Linked DNA regions of Diceros bicornis minor. The protein of the gene in region 1 purifies or fractionates together with the protein of each later gene. This does not show direct contact. Links are inferred from orthologs where the notes say so. Each region holds a gene or a part of one and is shown on either strand. Other genes may lie near its edges.

Evidence for each region.
Region 2: the proteins of INTS6 (region 1) and PPP2CB purify together in Homo sapiens (affinity purification with mass spectrometry; 3 studies listed by BioGRID and IntAct, with this or other methods). This does not show direct contact. The link is inferred for Diceros bicornis minor from reciprocal best matches to the Homo sapiens genes INTS6 and PPP2CB.
Region 3: the proteins of INTS6 (region 1) and INTS11 purify together in Homo sapiens (affinity purification with mass spectrometry; 3 studies listed by BioGRID, with this or other methods). This does not show direct contact. The link is inferred for Diceros bicornis minor from reciprocal best matches to the Homo sapiens genes INTS6 and INTS11.

Annotation. Positions count from the first base shown.
Region 1 is NC_080748.1:25,856,403-25,863,941, forward strand, and holds the start of INTS6 (integrator complex subunit 6), read left to right. Parts: upstream 1-4,515; 5' UTR 4,516-5,011; coding exon 5,012-5,122; intron 5,123-5,510; coding exon 5,511-5,588; intron 5,589-6,419; coding exon 6,420-6,569; intron 6,570-7,539. UniProt on the Homo sapiens protein: Component of the integrator complex, a multiprotein complex that terminates RNA polymerase II (Pol II) transcription in the promoter-proximal region of genes.
Region 2 is NC_080768.1:28,480,296-28,488,028, reverse strand, and holds the start of PPP2CB (serine/threonine-protein phosphatase 2A catalytic subunit beta isoform), read left to right. Parts: upstream 1-4,729; 5' UTR 4,730-5,027; coding exon 5,028-5,129; intron 5,130-7,733.
Region 3 is NC_080752.1:22,289,205-22,296,199, reverse strand, and holds the start of INTS11 (integrator complex subunit 11), read left to right. Parts: upstream 1-3,991; 5' UTR 3,992-4,070; coding exon 4,071-4,098; intron 4,099-6,938; coding exon 6,939-6,995. Other genes in the region: CPTP (ceramide-1-phosphate transfer protein), read right to left, coding at 766-1,288, 1,528-1,649.

The DNA.
Region 1 (7,539 bases):
TGAGACTTCAGCTATTTCTGTGAAATACTGTTCGTTGGAAAGGTCTAATTTATCTTTTTTTTCCCCCCAAAGCCCCAGTAGACAGTTGTATGCCATAGTTGCACATCCTTCTAGTTGCTGTATGTGGGACACGGCCTCAGCATGGCCGGAGAAGTGGTGCATTGGTGTGCGCCCGGGATCCGAACCCGGGCCGCCAGTAGTGGAGCGCGAGCACTTAACCGCTAAGCCACGGGGCCAGCCCTGATTTCTTTATAATAGTGGTCTCTAGCAGCATTTTTTTCTGAGGATTGACACTATTTAATATTAGGATGACCAAAATTAAATTTCCTTATATATGTACTATCTGAATACATTCTGCTGCATAATTTCACATCTAACTTTTTATGCTTATTGCTTCATGTTTTTTTGATGTTCTCAACCTCAACATCATTGACTATTGTGATCTCAAAGAGTAAAGCAGAGAGCTGGGAAAATGGTAAGACAGTCAAAAGAAACTTTGTTAGGTTACACATGAGGGAACACTAGGTTGATCTGACTATTCTGTTCAGATAGCGCATGCAGAGACCATAAGCCAAGTCATTGGCACATAATCATTTTTAAACCGTGTTGCCCTGCTTAATTGGTTTAAAATAATTTAAAAGGGCTCTGGTTGGCTCCTACAAATGAATCTAATTCATCAGTTCTTAATTCTGTTAGAATAGCTCCATTTCAACAATTTAGCCTATTGTTTAAGCCAGAGTCACCATTCTTTCAGAAGGTTTCCTATAATTTATTCCTTCCCTTTTAAATTGGGGGCATAGCATTTGGGCAGCATTTTTTTAAAAACAGCAGCAAAGAGCAAGTTTTCCCCCACATACCTCTTCTGATCATTGCCCTCCCAGGAGAATCTTTCCTAAGCCACTAGACTGCAACAGGACAGGGTTAGCCCACAATACTCCTACTACGTCTCCCTCGAGCACTGCAGGAGCTCAGTTTCTTCAGCTGAGTCTGATGAAATAGTTGGCTTGCAAGTTTTAGAAAAATAAGCCTGAATATAACCAGAATCTTTCTAGAATCACATTCTGGAATCACAGAGATTGAGTGAAGAAGAGATTCATGTTTCACATCTTATGCTTACTCCAAGGCCTAAGCTCACTGACGGGAACAGTGGGAATCTCTGGCACTGTTTACTTCTTTTTATTTTTTGGTCAAGAATTTAAGCAATTTAAATACGCTTATGAATCAAATCTACTGTTATCTATATTGCTGTCACATTTATAGTTTTTTTTTTCCTTTAATTTGCAGATTTGTTTTAGGAGTTCTTTTAAGAAATGTAATAACTCTAAGAGGGTGTGAATTTTTAAAGTTATTTAGTGAGTACTATTAGATGCTAGGCACATACATTATTCTTATACTTTAAGCATATAGTTCTTAATGATTATTTATAAGATTCACTTGAAGAGCTTTTTAAAGCATGAGATGACCAGGGCCCATCCCAATTCTACCGAATCACTTTCCTCCAGGTATGGGGATTTGGTATATTTATTACTATTTTTAAGTTCTGTGGGTAATATTGATGTGCATCTCCTGGCCCAGAACTACTGCTTTAAGCTATCATCAAACCAACAGCTTAACTGTCAACCAGAGTCACTAAGAATAACCTTGGCCTATTTCACAATTCTGTCTAGGGACCACTCATCAATGCTTCCTGGTTTCTGATTGCCTCTTGATTTGCCCCCTGTGTACATCCTGATTTCTTTCCTGTTCTGCCTCGGGGCTTTGGCTTCCAGCACTTCTGGGCTTCTGAACTGGAAACCTGGCCTTTGATCTTAGGTGGTTATATGCTCTAGGTTGGCTCATTGGACTTGGCTCTCCTGATCTCTGCATCTAATCCTGGCTCTACCAGACCCTAGTATGACAATCTGCCAATTCCCCTGAGTCAGGGAAGAAAAAGCCATGATGGCTCCATTGGAAATGATTTCAAATAACTGTAATAGGTAAGGTCATTGTTAATGCATGCTCACCTACTTCAGTAGTCTAGTTTGATTTCCTTTAAACACTACTTTGTACTCAGCGCCTCAACTAAAACTCTAGTTTATATGGAAAAATATCCTTAACCTGGAATAAAAGCCCTGTACTATCTAGACTTGACCTACTTTCTGGATCTTATACTATTCTTTGTGTACCAGGTGCGCCAGCCCAGCTGAACTTCCCTGTACCCCAGGAAGCATTGGCAATGCTGTGCTTTCATTCTTCACTACATTTTCAATGTCTAGGACTTTTTCATGAGCAACTTCCTCTTTCTTTACCCACATATTCAAATCCTACCAATCCTTTAAAGCAGTGTTTCTCAAATCTGAATAATGTAAAAGAAATTCTTATGATTTTAGAGATTACATTTTCCGACAGGCATAGGTCCATAGAACACAATTTGAAAAGCACTGATACAGAAAACTGAAGACCAATTATATGAAAATTTCTTTCAGATGTGAATTATCACTTTGAAAGAAAAATTTTGTCCTTATAACTGGTAAAGTGATTTGTATATTGTCATTAAAATGAAAACAAAAATTTTAGAGTATCAAAGAACTGATTCTTATCTCTAGGTCTAGGATCTCAGTTTGAGAAACACTGCTTTAACGCACCGCTTAAACACACTGACCCTGGAAACTTGTTCTTTCGTCACCCCAGGGTAATAAATTTTTCTCTTTTCTAAATTATTTACTATCTGATCACTTTCTGCCTTGTAGTAGCTAATAATTGACGTGTAATATTTTTCTAGAAAAACCATAAGCTCTTTGAAGGCAGGGACCATATTTTCATAATTTTTTAACTCCACCAGTCCTCAGCAAATATTGGATGTAAGACCTGTAGTTCATCTTATTTCTAGTCCAAATCTCTTAAAAACATCTCCTTCTTCTATGGTACATACAAAACAGCATATTACTGAAATAGCCCTACTATAAATTAACAAAAACTTCATAGGTTGTCTTAAATATTAGTAAAAGTCCAAGTTATGAAACTCCAGATTTTAAAAAAGTGCCACAAACCATGTCTCTTCTGTGTTAACGTCAAAAGGACCAATTTCTTTAAATGATCGGTAGGCAAATAACTAAAAATTTCAGGATAAAGAATATAAAAATCGAAATGCAAGGCTAGTAGAAGAGGTCCTATAAAAATCTACCTGGTCTTATAAGGGTTGTATGTCCTTAATTCAACTTGCATTTCAGGCAGTCTTCAGTCTTTCAAAGAGTATATTTGAGGAAACCGTTTTCTCTGACATTTAGGAGAGAGGATTCATTACCCCAGGCATGATGATAGGGGCTTGCTTCAATAACCGAGAACGTTTTCCCTCATACAGTATTTGGAACGACTCCGAGAGACACCATACAGTGAAAGGAAAGTGCACCGGCACGGTTATGGGGAACACTCTGTGTTACCTGGGCAAACTGAAGTCAGTTTTTTCATTTTAAAATAAGAGTAATGGATTATGACTGGCTTAGGTCCCTTTTAGCTCTGAAATTGATATTCTATGGCCCTAGGTAAACATGGCTTGAGAAAGGTATTCCTTTGGGTAACACCGGTTAATTTTCCCTGAGAATAACAAGGGTACAAACTGTTTATCGATATTTGAGGCTTCCCCCAGACTCTTTTAGGGCTGTTAGGAAGGGGGTTTGTACCCTTTTTGGAGGGTCCTCCAACGAGGGGGGCTTCTGCCCTGCTCCAGCTCCAGCCCTTACCCTTGGTCGCTCCCCCAGGGCCAAGCAAGACTGCGGGCGAGGTACGCCTCTGGTCCCCACTCCCCAGCGGGAGCGGTGTGACTCTCGGAGATTAGTCCCTGGTTATAAACAACCTCTCACTTCCCCTCCCCCGCCCCGGGCCCGCCCGCACTGGGGCCGGCCCTCCGAGGCCCAAGGAAACTCCTCCCGATGCCGTGGGCTCGCAGCCCTTCCCGGGAGGGCGACCGCGGCCCTGCCCCCTTCTCCTAACTGGGTGTTTGATCACGTCACTCATCCCCTTCTCAGTCGCCCACCGGGGAAAGGGTTCGCTTCAGCGACGTCGGAAGGAGAGCTGAGGCCAGCCTCCATTTCCCTTCCGCCGACCCCTATCACCTCCAACAGCCAAGGCGAGGGCGGCCGCCTTGACGCGCAGACTCACAGCCGCGGCCACCCTGCGCGCGCCGACGCGGCCCCCGCCCCCACCCCGCGGTGCTTCCGCGGTCCGTCCCCGCCCCTTCCCGGAGCCCGCCTCCGTGTCTCCCGGCCCGCCTGCTAGCCCCTCGCGCTCCCTCTCGCGCGCACCCGACGCCCCGCCTCCGCGCGTGCTCAATAACTGTTCCCGGAGCCGGCCCACAAGCTTCCCCCGCCCCTGAGCTGTTTGAATATGCTAATAAGAGGCTGGGGACTGCCCAATAGAATAGCGGGGCGGTACGTCACATGGCTCAAGGACGTGTCAGGGGGCGGAGCCTCTGCAGCCCCTGCCCGAGTTAAAACCGGAGTGTGAGAGAGAAAAGCGCTTCAGTAGCGAGAGGGGCTGAGAAAGTGGTGACACCGCCGGGGTGCGGAGGGAGTCCCTGAAACTTCTCCCAACAGCCCCAGGGCCAATCTCCCCTCAGCCCACTCCCCTCTTCGCCAGCTCCCAGGTCCCCACTCCCTGCACCGGGGGTGGGGTGGGGAGCCAGGCCCGTCTCCCGCTGGGACACACACAGGGGCCGGGAGCGGGGACGGGACCCCCGAGGCGGGGGGGACGGACCGACAGACAGACGGCCGGGCGCCCGCCCCAGCGGGCAGGCAGGCAGGAGGAGGCGGAGGCGGGGGTACGACGGGGAGGACTGGGTCTGGGGAGTTTCCTCTCAACTATCGGGGGAGAAACTCCCCGCAGCCGGAGGAAAGACCCAGACGGTGTTTTCCTCCCGGGGGCCGCGCTCCCCCGCCCCGCGTAGCGGCGGTCGCCGCCGCCGCCACCGGCGCCTCCACCTCTACCATCTCCTCTTGCTCCACCACCTCGGGCCCCGGTGTCCCCGGCCAGCACTATGCCCATCTTACTGTTCCTGATAGACACGTCTGCCTCTATGAACCAGCGCAGCCATCTGGGCACCACCTACCTGGACACGGCCAAAGGCGCGGTAGAGACCTTCATGAAGGTACCGACTGACCGAGCCCGGGCGGCGACCCCGGCCCGGCAGCCGCGGGCGGCAGGGGTGGGGGGAGGGAGGCCGGGGGCGGCGAGGCGGAGGTGTCGGGGACCTGACTGCGGGAGCCGCCGGGCTCGGGGACCCCCTCCCCCACCGCGCGGGCGGGCGGGCGGGCGCTGCGAGCCGGGCTCGGCCCGGGCCCGGGCTCCGGCCCCGGGCGGTGTGTGGGGGCCGATCTGTGTGCGGGGGGCGGCGCGGAGGGGTGGCCGCTGCGTGTGCGGTACTGTGGGGGGCGGTGGGGCCGCTGGGCGCCCCTTCTCCGCCTCGTAACCTCGCCTCTCTGCTTCCCTCTCGCCCGCCCTGTTCCTCCTCCCGTCCCCCACCCGCTCTCCCGCAGCTCCGTGCCCGGGACCCTGCCAGCCGAGGAGACAGGTATATGCTGGTCACTTTCGAAGAGCCGCCCTATGCTATCAAGGTAACAGCCCTCGCCCTCCCCCTTCCTTCCCTTGCCTGTTCCTTCCTCGCTCGCCCTCCCCGCCCCCCCATTCACCCTTCATTATGCTCCCCTCCCCCACCCGCTGTGCTCCAGGCGCTGAGGTCTTTTCCCCTGCGGGCGCCCACTCCCTCCCCTCGCTCCGGAGCGTCCTGGCGCGGCGCAGAGTCGCCGGGCCACCGCCGTCCCCTCCCCAGCCCGACCCGGCGGCGGCGGCGGTGGCGGCGGCGGCGGCGCTGCGATCAACATGGCCGACATTTCCCCTCCGCGGCGTGAGCGGCAGCAATGAACTGTGGGGGATATTTATTCAAGTTAGCCCGAGTGACAGCCGGGCCCGGCCGCGCCGAGCCCCGGTTTGCATTAAAGGGGCATCGGCCCGAGGCTTGGCCGCGCTCGCCAGGCTGGCGGGCCGGCGAGCGGGGTGGGGGGCTGCGCGGCTTGGTCTTCGGATTCGTGCTGAGAGGGCCGCGGGGCCGGTGGGACAGCTGTAGGTTAACTTCCGAAGTCCTGCTCACTTCTGCTTTCCACTAGTACCTTTGCATCCCCAGATTTTGGGTATTAGGTTAGGGAGTGAATTTCCCAGGGAAGCTCTAAAGTGTTAAGGTTGTTCGCTACCAGAAACTGTAGAGCCAGCAGGTTTATTCTTGGCCACTTTTGGAAGAGAGTTCCCTCAGCAGCGATCCGGTATTGACACGTTAACCAAACCATACTGTAAAGTGAAGCAGCTACCTGGTGAACGGCAGATTGTAACGCCTGTCCTTGTACACAGGACTCTAAAAGATGAAAAAAAAATTCTTACATTTTTCTTTTCAGGCCGGATGGAAAGAAAACCATGCAACGTTTATGAATGAACTGAAAAACCTTCAGGCTGAAGGACTTACGACTCTTGGCCAATCCCTAAGGACAGCTTTTGATTTATTAAATTTAAATAGATTAGTAACTGGCATAGACAACTATGGGCAGGTAGGTTGAATATTAAGGTGGAAAAACAGTTGATTTTTCTTTTTGTGGAAAAACACAGTCCGGCCCCAAAACTATATAACATGAAATACAAGTATAACACGTTTCAGATTAAAACAGAATGTGCACATAATGCAAAAGTGAAACCCTGACCATGCTATATGTGGTTTTATAGCCCTCATGTTTTAAAAATGTATTTGTATTCAGAATTAGAATCTGGATTCTTTGATATAAAGTTGACATGAATTTGGTTTTAATCCCTTCAAGTTCACTCAGGACGTAAAAGGGAAAACATCCTACCTCACCACACTCAGTTTCTCTGATACTCTACCCACAGGCAATTGTGCAACTATTGCAGTGACTTGCATACACTAGTTGATTAGTGGTCTTCATTTCTATATTAGTATAAAATAGAGAAATGTTAGAAGAAATTATTCTATTTGTTGTGTCAGGGTTTAATTTAACCATATTGTATAACTACTCAGAGGTGAGAAATTTTCACTGGAGTGCAATAACTGGTTGAGTACATTAAGATTTCTCAGCTTTTGAAGCATATACAGTAAGCAACTATACAGGAAGAATTCTTAATTCATTCCTGAATTAAATGGCAGGTCCAGAGTGCAGTACTTGCTTTCATTTATTATGAGACAAGGGCTTTGAATCACATGATGGTTCACTATAGAATAATGCAAGGTGGTCCATTAAAACTTTTTTTGAGATTACTGACCTGGAAAATAAAAGATACTGAAGAATGCGTATTGTTAACACAAAACAAAGGAATATTAAACCCAAGGAGTTCAGTTTTTATGTTGTACAAAGCACTATTACCACAATGATACATTTAGGTATACATTTTGTTCTTTTCCCAAGTTGCACGAGGCACAATTTTCATGACTTTCACAAGTTTCAGGGAAATTCTTCCCATGACTACAACTTTTGGTTGCTTTATATGGACAGAAACAGAATTGTTCCC
Region 2 (7,733 bases), on another chromosome or scaffold:
TTTAGCCATCCCTAACATGTGGCCTGTAGCCTCTTGCTTTTTTTCTAGTGGCCTCAAAATGGCTGTTCCATCTCCAGCAATGAGTCCCAGGCAGGAGCATTCTGAGTTTACTCCCTTTAACAAGCTTTCCCGTAGAGCCGCACTCAGCTAGTTCTCCTTACGGTGCGTTTGCCAGAATAACACCACACGGCCACTCCTAGGTATTCTTTAAGCAGGGCATTTTTCACTACAAACAGAATTGTTAAGAAAGGTACCGTGGGTACTGGCTAGACTGCTAACAATCCCTGCTCTACCAGTGTTGGCTAGAATGAAAAATATGGCATCAAAACCATAACAAAAGCAAAAATGTACCTTTTAAAAGAAAGAAGATGAAACAAATATTGAGGCTTTCCATAGTGGTGGATCAATCCTAAATACTGAAACTAATCCTTTTAGTCAGACCAGCAGTTTACTTTCATTCTTGCTACTTTCCTCAAATTCACTCACAAATATTTACTGAGCACCTACTCTCTAAAGGGCTTGTCCTACGTTTTTGGTATCACAAATGTAATATACATGGATCGTGCGGTCAAGTAATTTATATTCTAATAAGAAAGAAGAAATTCATATAAACAACATGATCTAGAAAGTATGTGGTATGGAAAAAGGACAGACCCAAAGGTATGAATTTTTAAAGAGAGATGAATTCCTTTTGGTGTCAGTAAGAGAAAGGACTTCATGGAAAAAGATAATCCTGACACTTGTCCTTGATGATAGAGGCAGGTTTATGCATGCATGGAGGAGGAAAAAAAGTACTTCCTGTAGATGTAAAGCATGAATTAAGGCATGGAGCCAAGAAAGTGTGTGGCAAGTGAGAACAGTAACTAATTGAATAGAATAGATTAAAGCCATTGCCAGAAGTTATGATGATGGGGCAATTAAGCGGCTCTCAGAATTGAAGTGACCACAGCTTCTTCTCCAGTAGTTATTTTTGGAAGTATCCCAGGTTTCAGAGGAGGGATGGAAGCTCCACGGTGACAGAGAAATCAACTTCTGAGCTGTGTCAGTCTTGAGAATATTGTAGGCCTCAGCTTTTAAAAGCCCACAGCGGGAGATTACAAAAAATTCTATTACATAGAGGAAAAAGCATCAACATGGCTGTACAAATTTTTAAATATTTAAAACATAGATTTTCACTTTCAGTGTTATAAATGTCCAGGAGCTCTACAGGAACTGCCTGCTCCAAAACAACTAGACCCAGAACAGGACACCTTTTTTTTTTTTTTTTTTTTTTTGAGGCTTCATTGGTCTTACAAATTAGGATAGATCTCCATGGATTTCCCAAAAATAAACGAGCATGAATTTAGCCCAGAATGGGTAGACATGGGCTGGAGTGGAAAGGATCTTGGGCTTGAGCCATCTGAAGATTTGAGAAGAACTAGATGCTTGGGACAGAACAGCTGGAAACTAAGCCCACAGGGCCAAGAGCCATGGCCTGACTAAATCAGCAGGGAGCTCACCTGAACAACACGGCTGCCAGAAGGAATGACATTGCTCTGAGGCTGGATTCCCAAAGACACTGCTACAGGGACACTGAGGTGGGGGAGCTGACACTCCTATTCTGAGCCAAAACTCTTGCTGAAGTGGTGTTGGCTTAGGAATATTTCCTGGATATTTCTGCAGATACAGAAGCAAACTTTCTAGAGGAAAGTCTTCCCAAGGTAGGCCCACAGTACTGTCACAATCCATTCAAGCTGTGAATGCATACACACTAGAAGGCAAGCCACTATGAGTAAGAGTCAGCAGAAACAAGAAAAACATCTTTAGTCACTTAAGAACTGGCAGTGTGGGAATTGTCAGATACACAATATAGAATAGCTAGGTATAAAATGTTTATAAAGGACTCCACTTCCACAGTGGTATGCTAGGGAATTTGAACCAAGCCTCCAACTGAGGTCAACAAAGAAGGACAAAATATTAAACACAGCATCTGTTCTGATTCCTTTATCTTCAAATAATTCCATCTCTTCCTCAATAAATTTGAAGGGAGTTTTTAGAACCAAGTTTTTTGGGTGGTAGAGTGATAAGAGGAGAAAAGAACTGTGGTCTTTTTATTAACAGTGATTTATAGTTTTTAAATTCAAAGAAAGCATTTCCAATTTGACTTTGTCTTTTTAGTCTCATCATTATTGATGGGGATTCTGATGCAGAATTCCCTGTAGCAATTTCAATAATACCGTATTCACATTCCCATTGTCAAAGTTTTTGAACTAGAAATAAAGATATTTATTTAGTCTTTTGAGAATATGGTGGTATAGAAGAATCATTTTTAAACCAATACAACATATAATTTTAAATGTAGCATATAACTCTCTGGATATGTTACAAAATATAAATGATTCATATTTCATACTTTTAAATGGCATAATACCATTTAAATCAAGAAAAATATCAATGTTTATATATTTTAAAAGAACTTAGTCAATTATGTAGGAACAAAATCTAACATGTAATTTTAAGGCAAAGGATCTGCTGAAGTCAACGATTTTAAAATTCTTTGACCAAAAGGAAAGAGGTAAACAAAGTAAAAATGAGAACACTTCTGGTAAACAAAGAACTTTAGAACTGGCCTGCAAACCTAAGATTAAATGCAGTTTTGCATGACATGCTTAGCAAGGATTGGAGATTGATGGTTATGTTCCACAGGAGAAAACACACAACATATTCATACATAATACATACATACATACATGACAGAAGCAAAGAGCAAAGAAAGAAAGAAGTTTAAGAATTATAGTTTTTATTTTTAATTAAGATGGCTTCACAACCGAAATACCAAAAACTGATATTACAATCACCAAGCCCTTTGGCTGGTCTACCAATCTCCAGCTTTCCCTACTCCCGTCAGACTGTAGAGCTCATATAACATAAAACACAGAGTAGAAGTCAGACAAACTTGGGTGTTAATCCTTACTCCACCAGTTACTATCTGTGTGACTTGAGTGTGCTTTTAAACTTCTGTGTGTCTCTTTCTTCATCTGTAAAGTGGAGAGCAATAATGGCACCTGTCTCATAGGATTACTGGAGGATTAAATGAGAAGACAAATGTAAAACGCTTAGCACATAGGAAGCACTCAAAAAAGCATCCCGGGGCCCACCCCGTGGCCAAGTGGTTAAAGTTCTGCGTGCTCCCCTTTGGCGGGCCTGGGTTTGCAGGTTCGGATCCCAGGCGCAGACCTACTGCACTCATCAGCCATGCTGCGGAGGCATCCCACATACAAAATTGGCACAGATGTTAGCTCAGGGCTAATCTTCCTCAAGCAAAAAAAAAGAGGAAGATTGCCAAAGGATGTTAGCTCAGGGCAAATCTTCCTCACCAAAAAAAAAAAAAAAAAGCATCTTTATTTGCTCTACAGTGTAAGTTGACTAAGCTTTTCAGAAGCACTATTTTCACAAGCTTGCCTACCTATCTTCCACTCTAAGAACATCCGCTCTTGTTATTCCGAACACATTTGCTTTTATTTCAAGGACCTCCCTCCCTAACCACTATAACATAGAGTTCCCATTTCTCCTCAAGGTATATTTTCTGTTCTCAGTCCATCTTCTCTAGGAACTCTGAAAACGCCCTTCTCATTCTCATTTTCATTCTGAGCTTTCCAGGGTTAGCTGAAATCCAGCCCCCTTTAAACCTTTATAGACTAACCTCAGAGACTGCAATGTCTATTGCAATTATACAGGTGCCCCTTCTCTTCAGTGTTGTTTCGTTACCTCTTCATGTTTTCTTCTTCAATTGGTTAGCTACTATTTACAAGTCCGTTGAGAGCAGGAGCTCTTCCAGCCTTATTTCCCTATTTCTGTTGATAGGAATATGTATAGCTTTCCAAACGGACCGTGATCACACATTTGTCCTCTGCCTCACACACAAAAAAAATTCCTTGGAACTTCTTTCCTCTTCTCCAGGCAACTTCAAAGTTTTGCCTTGGGGAAAGGTTCAAAATTCAGTTCAAATGGCACCTTTCTAAAGCTTTCTGTAACTGTGGCTTAGGAGGGATAAGGCAACTAACACATTGCTCCCGTACTGTACTTACTGGGTGGGTACTTGTAAAATTTAATCTTCACAACATGAAAAGGTAAGCCTTACTGAGCCCTGTTAGACGGAGAAGCTGAGGCTTGGAGAAATTCGGTGATTGCCCAAGGACACAGCTAAGAAGTTGGCACAACACAGCTTCATATTATACAGAACAATCATTTCATCTTTCTGATGCTGAAAGCGGGGATTCGAGATGTTAGGGCCCCACAGCTAGCTAGTAGCAGAGATAAGGCTAGAAAGAATTCATTGATTCACTCAATAAATATTGAATGCTTGCTATGGGAAAGGGCTAGACTCCGGCGAGACAATGTTGTCGAGGAAAGGCACAAGCTTCCTAATTCCCTCTCCAGAGCGCTGAAAAAGCACTGCAGAAGACTAAGGTGGGGGCGAAGTTCCCAGAGAAAAGGATGTGAGGAAAGAACCAGGAGAGCTTGGTCCGGACCCGAAGCGGGAACCGGGCATAGAGAAGGGAAGGGGGAGAAAGCGGGGCGACCCTCGGCTCGTTTCTCCGCCGAGCCACACGGGGGCGCTGCAGCCCTGCTCGCATCCCGCTCCCTGGCGGCGCCGCCTGCTCCCCTTTTCCCGGCGGAAATGCCCGGGCGATGACGGAAACCCGGAGGGAGGGAAGAGAAAGAGCGAGAGCGAAGGGGTGAGAGAGCCGGGAGTGGCCGGCGGGTGGCCATCGTCCGGCGGGAGCTGCGCCGAAGCCCCGCGCCGCGCTGCCCCCCACCGCCCCGCGTCCTTCAGCGACTCGCGGGGCGCGCGGCCGGCCGGGGGGCTCCTCGGGGCCGCGCTCCCGGCGCCGCCCGCTGCCTTAGGCGGGGCGTGGGGCCCGCGGCCGCGCGCCCCGGCTCCTTCCTCTCCCGCCGGGAGCTGGCGGCGGCGGCCGGAGCGGCGAGCGGGAGCGGGAGCGGGAGCGGGGAGCGGCGCCGGGGCGGGGGGAGGGCCGCGGGCCGCCATGGACGACAAGGCGTTCACCAAGGAGCTGGACCAGTGGGTCGAGCAGCTGAACGAGTGTAAACAGCTCAACGAGAACCAAGTGCGGACCCTGTGCGAGAAGGTAGGAGAGGAAGGAGGGCTGCGCGGGGGCGGCCGCCCTGCCCCGGGCCCGTGCTCCCGGCGGCGGCGGTGGCCGTTCCGGGGCCCGGGGCGCTGCGCTCACGTTACTGGCCCAGGGGTCCGCTGTGGGTGGCCGGGGGAGACCTGGCACCCGCGCGTGAGCTCGAATGGGGTCACCGACGCTCTTCTGGGGGTTCCTGACCCTCCAGGTCAGCGTGGACTAGCGAGCGCGGCCCTGTGGAATGCGGCCACTTAGTCTGATGCGACCTCCTGTCTGAAAATGCACCGAAAATTAACCTGGATGTTGCTCATATTAACGAACCTGTTCATAAACGTAGGATTTTTTTCAGGTGAATCGGGCCCTTCAAAAATCGCGACCTTGGAATGCGTCAGGCATTTGTTTGTGGAGAGGTGGGTGTGATGGCAGGCTGTGGTTTTTAAAATAGAGGTTGACTTTGGTTGAAACAGATGGTAACTGGTCTTCGCGTTGAGTGGCTCTTGGAAGCAAAATGTTGATTTTCAGAAATAAAACAGCAAGTCTAAAGTTTGGCAACAGTGCTTGCTTGAAATGATAAATGGGGTATGTATTTTTCGTGCAGAGCAGCACTTTTTAGAAAGTCTTTTCCATCTTTATTACATGTAAAGCTTTCTTTTCCGAAGAAAAAGGAGTTTTTATTTGTTTTAGTTGTTTACAGTCGTTCTTGGTTGTATGATCTTAAACAACATTCTGAATTCTGTATCGACTGTTCTTAACCACTGGAATTATTTCAGACGGTCTATCTTATTTACGTTAAAGTCTAGAGTTTTTCTCATTCATCTTTTATAATCTGGACTAAATAATTTTCATACATTTATATGTTAAAAGACCTCATTTGAAGTCCAGGAAGGAGTAACGAGTTTAATCTTTAATGCTGTTGGGTTTGTTTGTATTTTTAAGCCATAATCTATAAAACTTTCTTGATCATAGTGTTCGGAAGTCAGGATGCCCCAGAAATGTTGTTAGTATTATTAATAGGGCACTCTTAAAATAAAGCATCTTAGGGTTGGAGGAGTAATAGCTAATATTAAGTTAAAATAGTGTTTTTAACAAGTAAATGTCGCCTAGGGCCTTTGTATATTAAATAACTATTTGTTAACACAGGAAAATTTATTTCTGTAAATAGAATTGCTGAACAACTGGTATTTTTCTGAAAAAACTGTTTGCTTATAGCTTCAAGTAGACATTCAGTTTCCTTGAGTCATAACCTATAATTTCATGTCTTAAAATTTACGTTTTAAATCTCTCTCTCTCAAGCTCCAGTGTCGAGTGAAATATCCAGTTTTGACATTAGCTGAGTCAGTTAACCTCACTATGAACATAGACATGCACTTCACCAAGTTAATGGACACAGTCAGTAGCTGAGTCAGCTTTTCCCTTTGACGCTCTAATCATTTGGAGATGTATTTCTAGAGAGGAATGTTGTACCACTACTCAGTCACACTTGAGTCTTAATCACTTGAGGAAGCTTTCTGTGTTTGTCGAGAGTATTTTTTACTTCAGCTCCTAAATAATTGAACTACCAATCCCTAGGACTTTATAGGTATGTTTAAGCTTATGTCTTACCCACTTTTTTCTTTGAATATTTGTACTTATCCACTAAACATGAGTTTTTACGTGAAAATCCACAATCATTTATCTTTCTCCTCCACCCCTTTGATGGAGTTGCTGGTGGGTGGAGAAGTGTGATAGGATTCCTTGCTCTCTACCTTTTTAAGCAGTGCTTGGTTTTGCAGCCCTCTTCTAGCAACTGTGGCGTCCCTTTGTGGTATATATGTTCTGTCTTCTAACCTTAGGCTCTAGTTCCATTTTACGTCCCTACCCTGATCCTCCATGTTCCTGAGGAGTGTCCTGTTTGCTTGCAGTGAGCTCTGGTGGTCAGCCCATCTGAGTTCACACCCTGGCCCTGCAGCTCGGCAGCTGCCAGTCTCCCTGCACCTCTGATTCCTCATCTGTAAGACAGAGGTGATAAAATTTCCTGATCTTCTGTGTTGGTTGTGAGTATTAAGATACCACCCCTGTTAAGTCCTGACAAGAAATAAGCACGCAATGAATATTAAATGAAGAAAAGCTAAATAAAAATAGCTATTTCATTTTGTTTTAAATCTGTCCCCTCATTTTCTTTTGCAAAAAGATGCAAAGAAATAGATGTGATGATGTGACTTCTCTGTGGAGAATGTACTTTAAAAAAAGATTTTATATGTAGTGGCTCTAGAATTGTTAAAAATACAGTTTCACTCACTATTTCTTGTGATCCTTGTTACCTGAAGCACAAAGTACTGGGATTAGTAGCAATTTTGTGAAGTAACCTTACCATCACTTGGTCTACTTGATACCTGCTCTACCCTTCCAGGTCAAGAATGGCAGGCGCGTAGAAAGAATATAAGAGAAAAGTGAAAAGTCAAACCTGATTATGTAGATCACCTTATTGTTTAATTCTTTGTGACTAGGTTTTAGTTCTTTTTTTTTTAATAACATGATTTTTTGGAGTCTGTCGGAAATACTACTCTATAGAAAGTTACATTATATGGTGGTGATTTTTCCCTCAAAATTAAATTCCTATTTTAA
Region 3 (6,995 bases), on another chromosome or scaffold:
TGGGCTCCCGGGGGCTTCGGGCCTATGCGGTGCAGACTCACAGGCAGATGCCTGGAGGAGCTCGGGGCCACAGCGTGGCTGCAGAGGACAGCTGACGTGTGTAGAGGGCTACAAAGGCAGGGAGGCCTTGACTCAGGGCCTCAGCTCCCACTGTCACTGCCGAGGACACATGTGCCCCTAGTAACAAGTAGGTGAGGGGTAGGGAGGGAGCCTGCAGTGCCAACTGCTGCCCAGGGATTCTCTCCCTGCCCTGGGGACAGCCAGCCTGGTGTGGAGGGGCCTGAGGCAGCCCACCTAGGCACAGACACCACATCCCGGGCCTGGGAAGGACATGCACCAGCGTCGTCGGCTGGCGACCAGGACAGAGTCTGTGTACTCCAGGGACCTGTGACCTCACCCCATCTCACAGACTTGACTCACAGGTGGGGGCAGCTTCTCTGGCCTTTGCACACACACTGATCCTGCTCTCTGCACTTCACGCACCAGGTGAGGCCTGTTAGACACTCATGTCACCTGGCAGAGGGTAAAGCTAAGATGCCATTGGGCAGAGCAAGAGGACGGGCGTGGAGCAGACGGCCAGCGCCTGCCTCCTCTGACCAGAACAGGCCACACTTGGTCCGTGGCTCCCAACAGGCTTGGCTCGTGCGGACAGTGGTCTTCCCGTTCTTGGGGCACCCAGAAAGGTCCGTGGTGGGACTCACGGGCCCTGGTTGCCCCAGCCCAGCTCTGGAGGAGGGGAAGCCTGCCCTGCTGGGCCCGCCGGCCCTAGGGCAGGTCCAGCAGAGCGTGCTCGGCGTAGAGCTTCTGGCAGATGTTGTAGACATGCTCAATGAAGGGCAGGGCCTCCCCTAGCATCTCCACAGCCTGCTCGGGGGACCCCACGTTCATGGCCTCCAGGAAGACCTTGCGTGTGGGAAGCGTGCAGAAAGCCACAGTGACAGCCCGGCGGATGATCCAGGGGTGGTAGGCAGCCAGCGAGGCATTGTAGGAGTCAGTGCAGAGCGTGGCAGTGCGCGCGTCCTCGGGGCTGGTGCGCAGACCTTCCAGGAAGAGCTGCAGCCAGCGCAGGGCGCGGTGCAGCCGGAGCACCGTCCGGCAGCCTGAGTCGGCGTGGTGCGAGCGCCGCTCCAGGTCCACCAGCTGGTTGCCCACCTCATAGGCCACCATGGACTGCAGGCTTCTGTAGTGCTCCCGCTGGGGGCTGCTGCACAGGCGCTCCATGATCTGCAGCTTCGTCACCACGTCCTTGGAGACAAACGAGAAGATGGTGCCCAGACTGTTCAGGAACCTGCAAGAAGGGAAGCAGGAGCTTAGCCTGGGGTGCAGGGAAGACCACCTCCTGCCTCCTGGGGCACATGTCCACCTGGAGGCAGAGGCAGCAAGTGAGAACAGCTGACCGGCCCTGGGCAGGCAGGAGCCTGGTGCATCCACGTGCCGTGCAGACTGCAGGTCTCGCACATGGGAAGTGTGGCCAGGAAAGCCCCGCCTTTGGGCTGGCCCTGCAGGGCAGTGGCCCCTTGCACGCACCTGACCAGCCCCCTCCAGCCTGCGAGGTAGTGGTCCAGCAGCACCTCTTCCTTCTCGTCGAGACACTGCTTGAAACTCACCAAGACAACTTTCAGATTGAAGTCCGACTCCAAGTCGTCCATTTTTCAATACGAACTGAAACACAAGGGGAGCCAGGATGAGGGGCTTTCTCACTGAGTCATCTCACTCCTCAGATTGTTATCTTGAGGGTGGAAGCAGGTCCGGTGGAAAGAACCAGCTGGGATCCTCTTGCTCCCCACAGGAAGCCCCATCCCCAGGTCAGCCCCTCCTCCCCAGGAGCTCATCTTCCTTGGGCCACACGGTCTCAGACACACCAACCTGACTCCACAGACCCTTTGCCCGGAACACGTGCCTAGACAGCTTAGCAAGGCCTCTCCTTGTCAGGCAGGCTTTGCCACACCACTCTGTTGCATCTTGCTTGTAGCATCCCAACTCACGGTTTCTTGCTTATTTGTTTATCGTTTGTCTCTCTCACTAGAGTGTGTCTGTTTTTACTAGCTGGAACATATTTGCTTGGTCCCTGCCTAGAGCCAGGCCCTCTTCCAGGTACTCAGGTGCACCATGAGTGAGACAAACAGCCCTGTCTTGTCAGGGTGACATTCTAGTGTGGTGGGTGTGAGACAATAACAAAGACAGGAAATTCCAGCAGGGTAGGTAACAGAAGGTAAACACAATGGAAAAAAAGACAGTGGAGTGAGGTGGGAGGGCCGGGGAGGGTGGTGGGGCGGGCCACACCATTCCTTGCTCACTGCTGCATCCTGAAAGCCAGAGCAGAGGCTGCAAGGTCAGCATTTGCTGGATGGATGGACAGACACCAGTCTTTTCACTCTTACTGAAACCGTACATGTCCCACACAGAAGGGCGGATGGACCAAAGATCTTTCCACACTCTGAAAACATCCACAAGGTCCTCCCTTAGCCCCAGAGAACCTTCCGGAAGTGCCACAGGCTAGAGTCCTGCTCTGAATTCTGCTCACATTCATACACTCACTCCACAAACATCCAAGCGCTGTGTTCAGTGGGTGCCATTGGGCACCCCAGCCCCTGCCTCCCTGAGCTCCCAGGGCCAGCACGCGACGGGCCCAGGGGACCTGGCGTCCAGGATGAGCTCTCACCCCACTGGGCCCGGGTGCTCCTGTGCCCTTGGTGCCTGGAGCCCTGTGGGACACCTGGCAAGGGAGGGAGGCCGCCCAAGCTGTGACGAGAGCCCCAGCCAAGAGCAGGACACCTGGTACCTGGGCAGCTTCTGCCTTCTGCTCTGCGGGTAGGTCACTCGCCATCCTGACACCTGGTCCTTCATCTCTGGGGAAAATGGGCCAGCACACCCTGTCCTGCCCACCGCTCAGGCTGCTGGGAGTGTCTGGTGGGGCCTGGCAGGTGCTGAGGCCCTGCAGGCCCCACAGGCTGGGCTGCATGTCTGGCATCAGGCGGAGACCCCAGAGCAAGCTCACCCTGTCTTCAGGTACGTGAGTCGGCTGTGCCCGGCCTCAGGAAGATGGTGCTATGGACACTTCTGGCACACCCCTCCCCTTGCTCTGGGCCTCGGTTCTGCGTCCACCAAGCAGATGGTCTCTGAGGCCCTCAGGGCTACCTTCCTAGCCGCCAGACATCCTGTGGGCTTGGAGTTCCTGCGCAGAGCCAGCAGCCAACAGGGGCTGCCAGGGGCCTTTCAGAGCTTGGAAACAACAGGAAGGGCAGTGACCATGCGGCTGGGCACTGGCAGCTGGCCAGCTCTGGGAAGGTGAGGATGCAGGGCACCGCCGAGCCTCTCCCAGGGGCTAATTCACGGCCCCAAGGTCAGGGCTCGGCGCGAGGGTGGCCTGAGCATCCGAACCCTGTGCTGCCAGCAGACTGGACACCCCCAAGAGAAGGGGACACCCACCCCGGCACCCCAGAATTAGGGGGTGGGAACGGAGCCCTGCCCAGGAAGTCCTTCAAGTCTCTTCCGGGAAGGGGGCTCCAAGCGGCACCGGGCAGGTCCCCGGTCCTGAGCGGGTCCTGCTCCAGCTGGAGGCCCGGGGACCGGGCAGGGGCCCGGGGTCCGGGTCAGCGCGGGAGCCAGGTCCTCGGCCGCCCCCTCCCGCCCCGGGGTCCCGCGCCTAGCTCCTCGGACATGCCCAGGCCCGCCCAGCCGGTTCGGTTGAGCTCGGTTCCCCCGCCGCCGCCGCCGCTCACGTGCGCCGCCGCCCACGTCCGCCGCCGCCGCCGCCGCCGCTCACGTCCGCCGCCGCCGCCGCCGCCGCTCACGTCCGCCGCCGCCGCCGCCGCCGCTCACGTCCGCCGCCGCCGCCGCCAGGGAACCCAGCGCCCCGCCCCCGGCCTCCGCGCCGCCTCCCGGGATTGGTTGCCGGCCGCCCAATCAGGAGGCCCGGAGCGCGGGCCCGTGTTTCCGGCGGGCACACCGGAAGCCAGCGCCTCGGGGCTGCGCCTGAGCAGTGCGTCGTCGCGGGTCGCGCTCGGCGGCTGGGTTCGTGGGGTTGACTGGGAACGCAGAGGCGAGGGGCCGGGGGCGCGGACGGCAGGATGCCCGACATCAGGGTCACACCCCTGGGTGAGTGGGGCGCGGGGCGGGCGGGGGCCGGCCGGTGGAGGGGCCGGGGAGCGCGCCGGGTGGGCTCGGGGTCGGGCCGGGCCGGCCCGCTTCCCGGCCGTGAAGGGAGGACGGGATCGCCCGAGCAGCCCTCCCCGGGCCTGGCCCCTGGACGGCGTGCCGTGGAGGCACAGGGTCTCCGTCCTCGCCGCGCCCGCGCTCGGCTTACTTCGCGCGCGGCTGGCGCGCCAGGCCCCTTGGCGCCTCTGCCCTCACCGCTCGCTCTCCTGCCACCCGCTCTGTCCGTCCCCGCCCGGTCACCTGCAGCCTCCCACGTGCGCAGTCTGGAGACCCACCCTCGGTTCAGTCCTTGTTTTACTTGATTTTTGCCACGTTAAAAAAATTGTTTTGCTTTTTGTAAAAGGTATAGATGCGCACTTTTAAAAGCCCGAGCAGTACAAGACAGTACAAAGGAGGAAAGACCACTCAGAATCCAGGGTCCTAGTAACAACTAGGGTGATCGTGTAGGTCGCCAGCCCTCCCGGCGTCTCTGGGCGTTGTTGGTGCATGCATGGCATGCACTGGTTGGGAGCCTGCTTCCTTCACTGGGCCCTGTGTTGCCAGCATCTTCCTGTACAGATGTCCCACACGGTTCCACGTGCTTTCTCAGGGTGTGAGGTCTTCCCTGGAATAGCCCACCCTGCCCTTCGTGTGGATATTGAGCTGTTGACAACCGTGATGAATGCCCCTGCCCCTGGCCTGCTGCGTCAGATTGCACGTTCCATGCTGCTATACGCATCATCACCCCCATGGCCTCTCCTAGCTGTTGGTACGGGGTCACCACCGCCCCGTGCCCTCTCCTGCCCCTGGCTTCTCTCCAGGGGCTTCTGTGGGACCCTCCTACCAGCCCCTTTCCCATGTGGCCCCTCTTCTCGCCACTCACTGTCCTTAAACAGTCCTATTGTCTTACTGTTCTCTTACCCCAAATCTGCATTTAGGTGCACCCCAAAGGTCGCTCAGCCACAGCGCCATCAAAGCAGAAACACTTCTGCTCCACTCTCTCCCTTCACCAGTTTCTGCCTTGAGGGCTCCCTGGTCACCTGGGCCAGATTTGGAGAGTCTTGCCGGGTCACTCCCGGGGCCTTTGCACAGCTGCTCCTCCCATCTTGGCTGTCTCTCTCCACTCTGCTCGCAAGTTGTCTTCTCAGGGAGGAGTTGCCTGTCGTGGTTTTGGAAGTTTCTGTGTCCCCTTTCCTGCGTTACTTTTCTCCATGGTGCTGATCTCCACCTGACGCCCTCAGCGTGTGTCCTACCTACGTGGTTGTCGTTTGTCTCCTTGCCCTGGATCGTCAGCTCCCCGCAGACAGAGTGTCTCCCTTGTCTTCTCCTGAGTCCTGTCCCCCTCTTGTGTGCCCTCGACTCTGTCCCCCACGTCTTTTGCCCAGTTCAGCCACTCTCTCTGCTCCCTGGGATTGTTGTGGGTGCTGTTGGGACCAGGCAGCCAGCGCCTAAGAGCTGGGCTCTGAAATCTAGAACGCGGTCTCTGGCCCCATGCTTAGGAGCCATGTGCCCGTGGGTCAATCCTGTGTCTTCTGTGGCTCCACGTCATCTGTAAAGAGGAGTGGCCCTTCCCCTCTCACAAATGTTTGGAGGGTCTCTGAGCCAGGCATGACTCCTGGGCTGGAGGTGCAGCAGGTGGCAGACAGCTGAGATCCTGCCCTCAGGGAGGCACGTCCTAGTGGGCACAGCAGCAGGCCTGTCAGAGACCTGGAGGCTGCCACCTGTGGCTGGGCTGCTTGAGGCAGGCAGGCGAAGCTCTTGGCTGGTGTCATCTGCTGTTTTCACAGGTGACTGAAGCTTCTCGAGGACCAGCCCATGTCCCACTCTGGGCCGTGGCCTGGTCACCCTGGTGTGTGTGGTGCTACCTGAAGGTTCAGGTGGCCGGCAGAGGGAGGCTGGTAGGGTTCAAGATGGAGACCAGGTGATTTGGTGTCATCAGGGCTTGCAAGACCGTGTCCCTTTCCTTCTGGGTCCCCAGACTCCAGAGGAGGTGACCGATGGCCATATGAGGTGGCCAGGATGTGCCCTGCCAGGGGGAGGTTTCACTGCCTGGAGCATCTGGGCAGGGCTTGGAGGTCAGGAATGTGGATGGGACTTAAGTCACGGTCTGGGCTGGGGGGCCGCCGTGAGGGGCACGGTGGTGAGCTCGTGTCGCCCATGTGCCCTGGGGTGAGGTGTCTGCATTGTGGCCACCATAGTTGGCCATCGCTGGACAGCTGGGGCCATGTTTCCCCTGGGCTGAGGGCTAAAGCCACACAGGTGTCCCTCTGCAGTGGCACCACCAGGAGGCGCCTGACCCCTCTTGGGGGCAGGTCCTGGGAGAGGGGGCATCACAGCCCAGATGTGACCCCAGCCGAGGTTTCAGGAGGGATGGTGAGTTTCCACAGAGCCCCGGCTTGCCTCTGTTGGTGCTGAGACCACAGTCTAGCACCCACGACTCAGTGTCAAGGCGGTGACCTTGAGAGGTCAGGGGCTTCTTCTACCTGACCCTGGGCAGTAGTGGCAGAGGCGCATGTGGACTAGAGCTCGCTTGGTGGCCTTGACGCTTTGTCCCTTGCCTGCCCGCATGTGGAGGTGGTGATGCTTCTTGGCTCACACGTCGTCCACACTGCATCCCTGGGGCCATTTCCCCAGTCTCCTGAGGGCTCTACTGGGCCAGGGACCCAGGGCGCCCCGTGGGGTCTGGGGCGGGTGGCTGGGCCTTGGCCTTGGGGCTGGGGCCATTGCTTGCAGGAGCAGGGGAGGGGCCGGGGGGAAGGGAGAAGGGCAGGCAGCGCCTCTTAACTCACTCTCCTGTGCAGGGGCCGGCCAGGATGTGGGCCGAAGCTGCATCCTGGTCTCCATTGCGGGCAAGAACG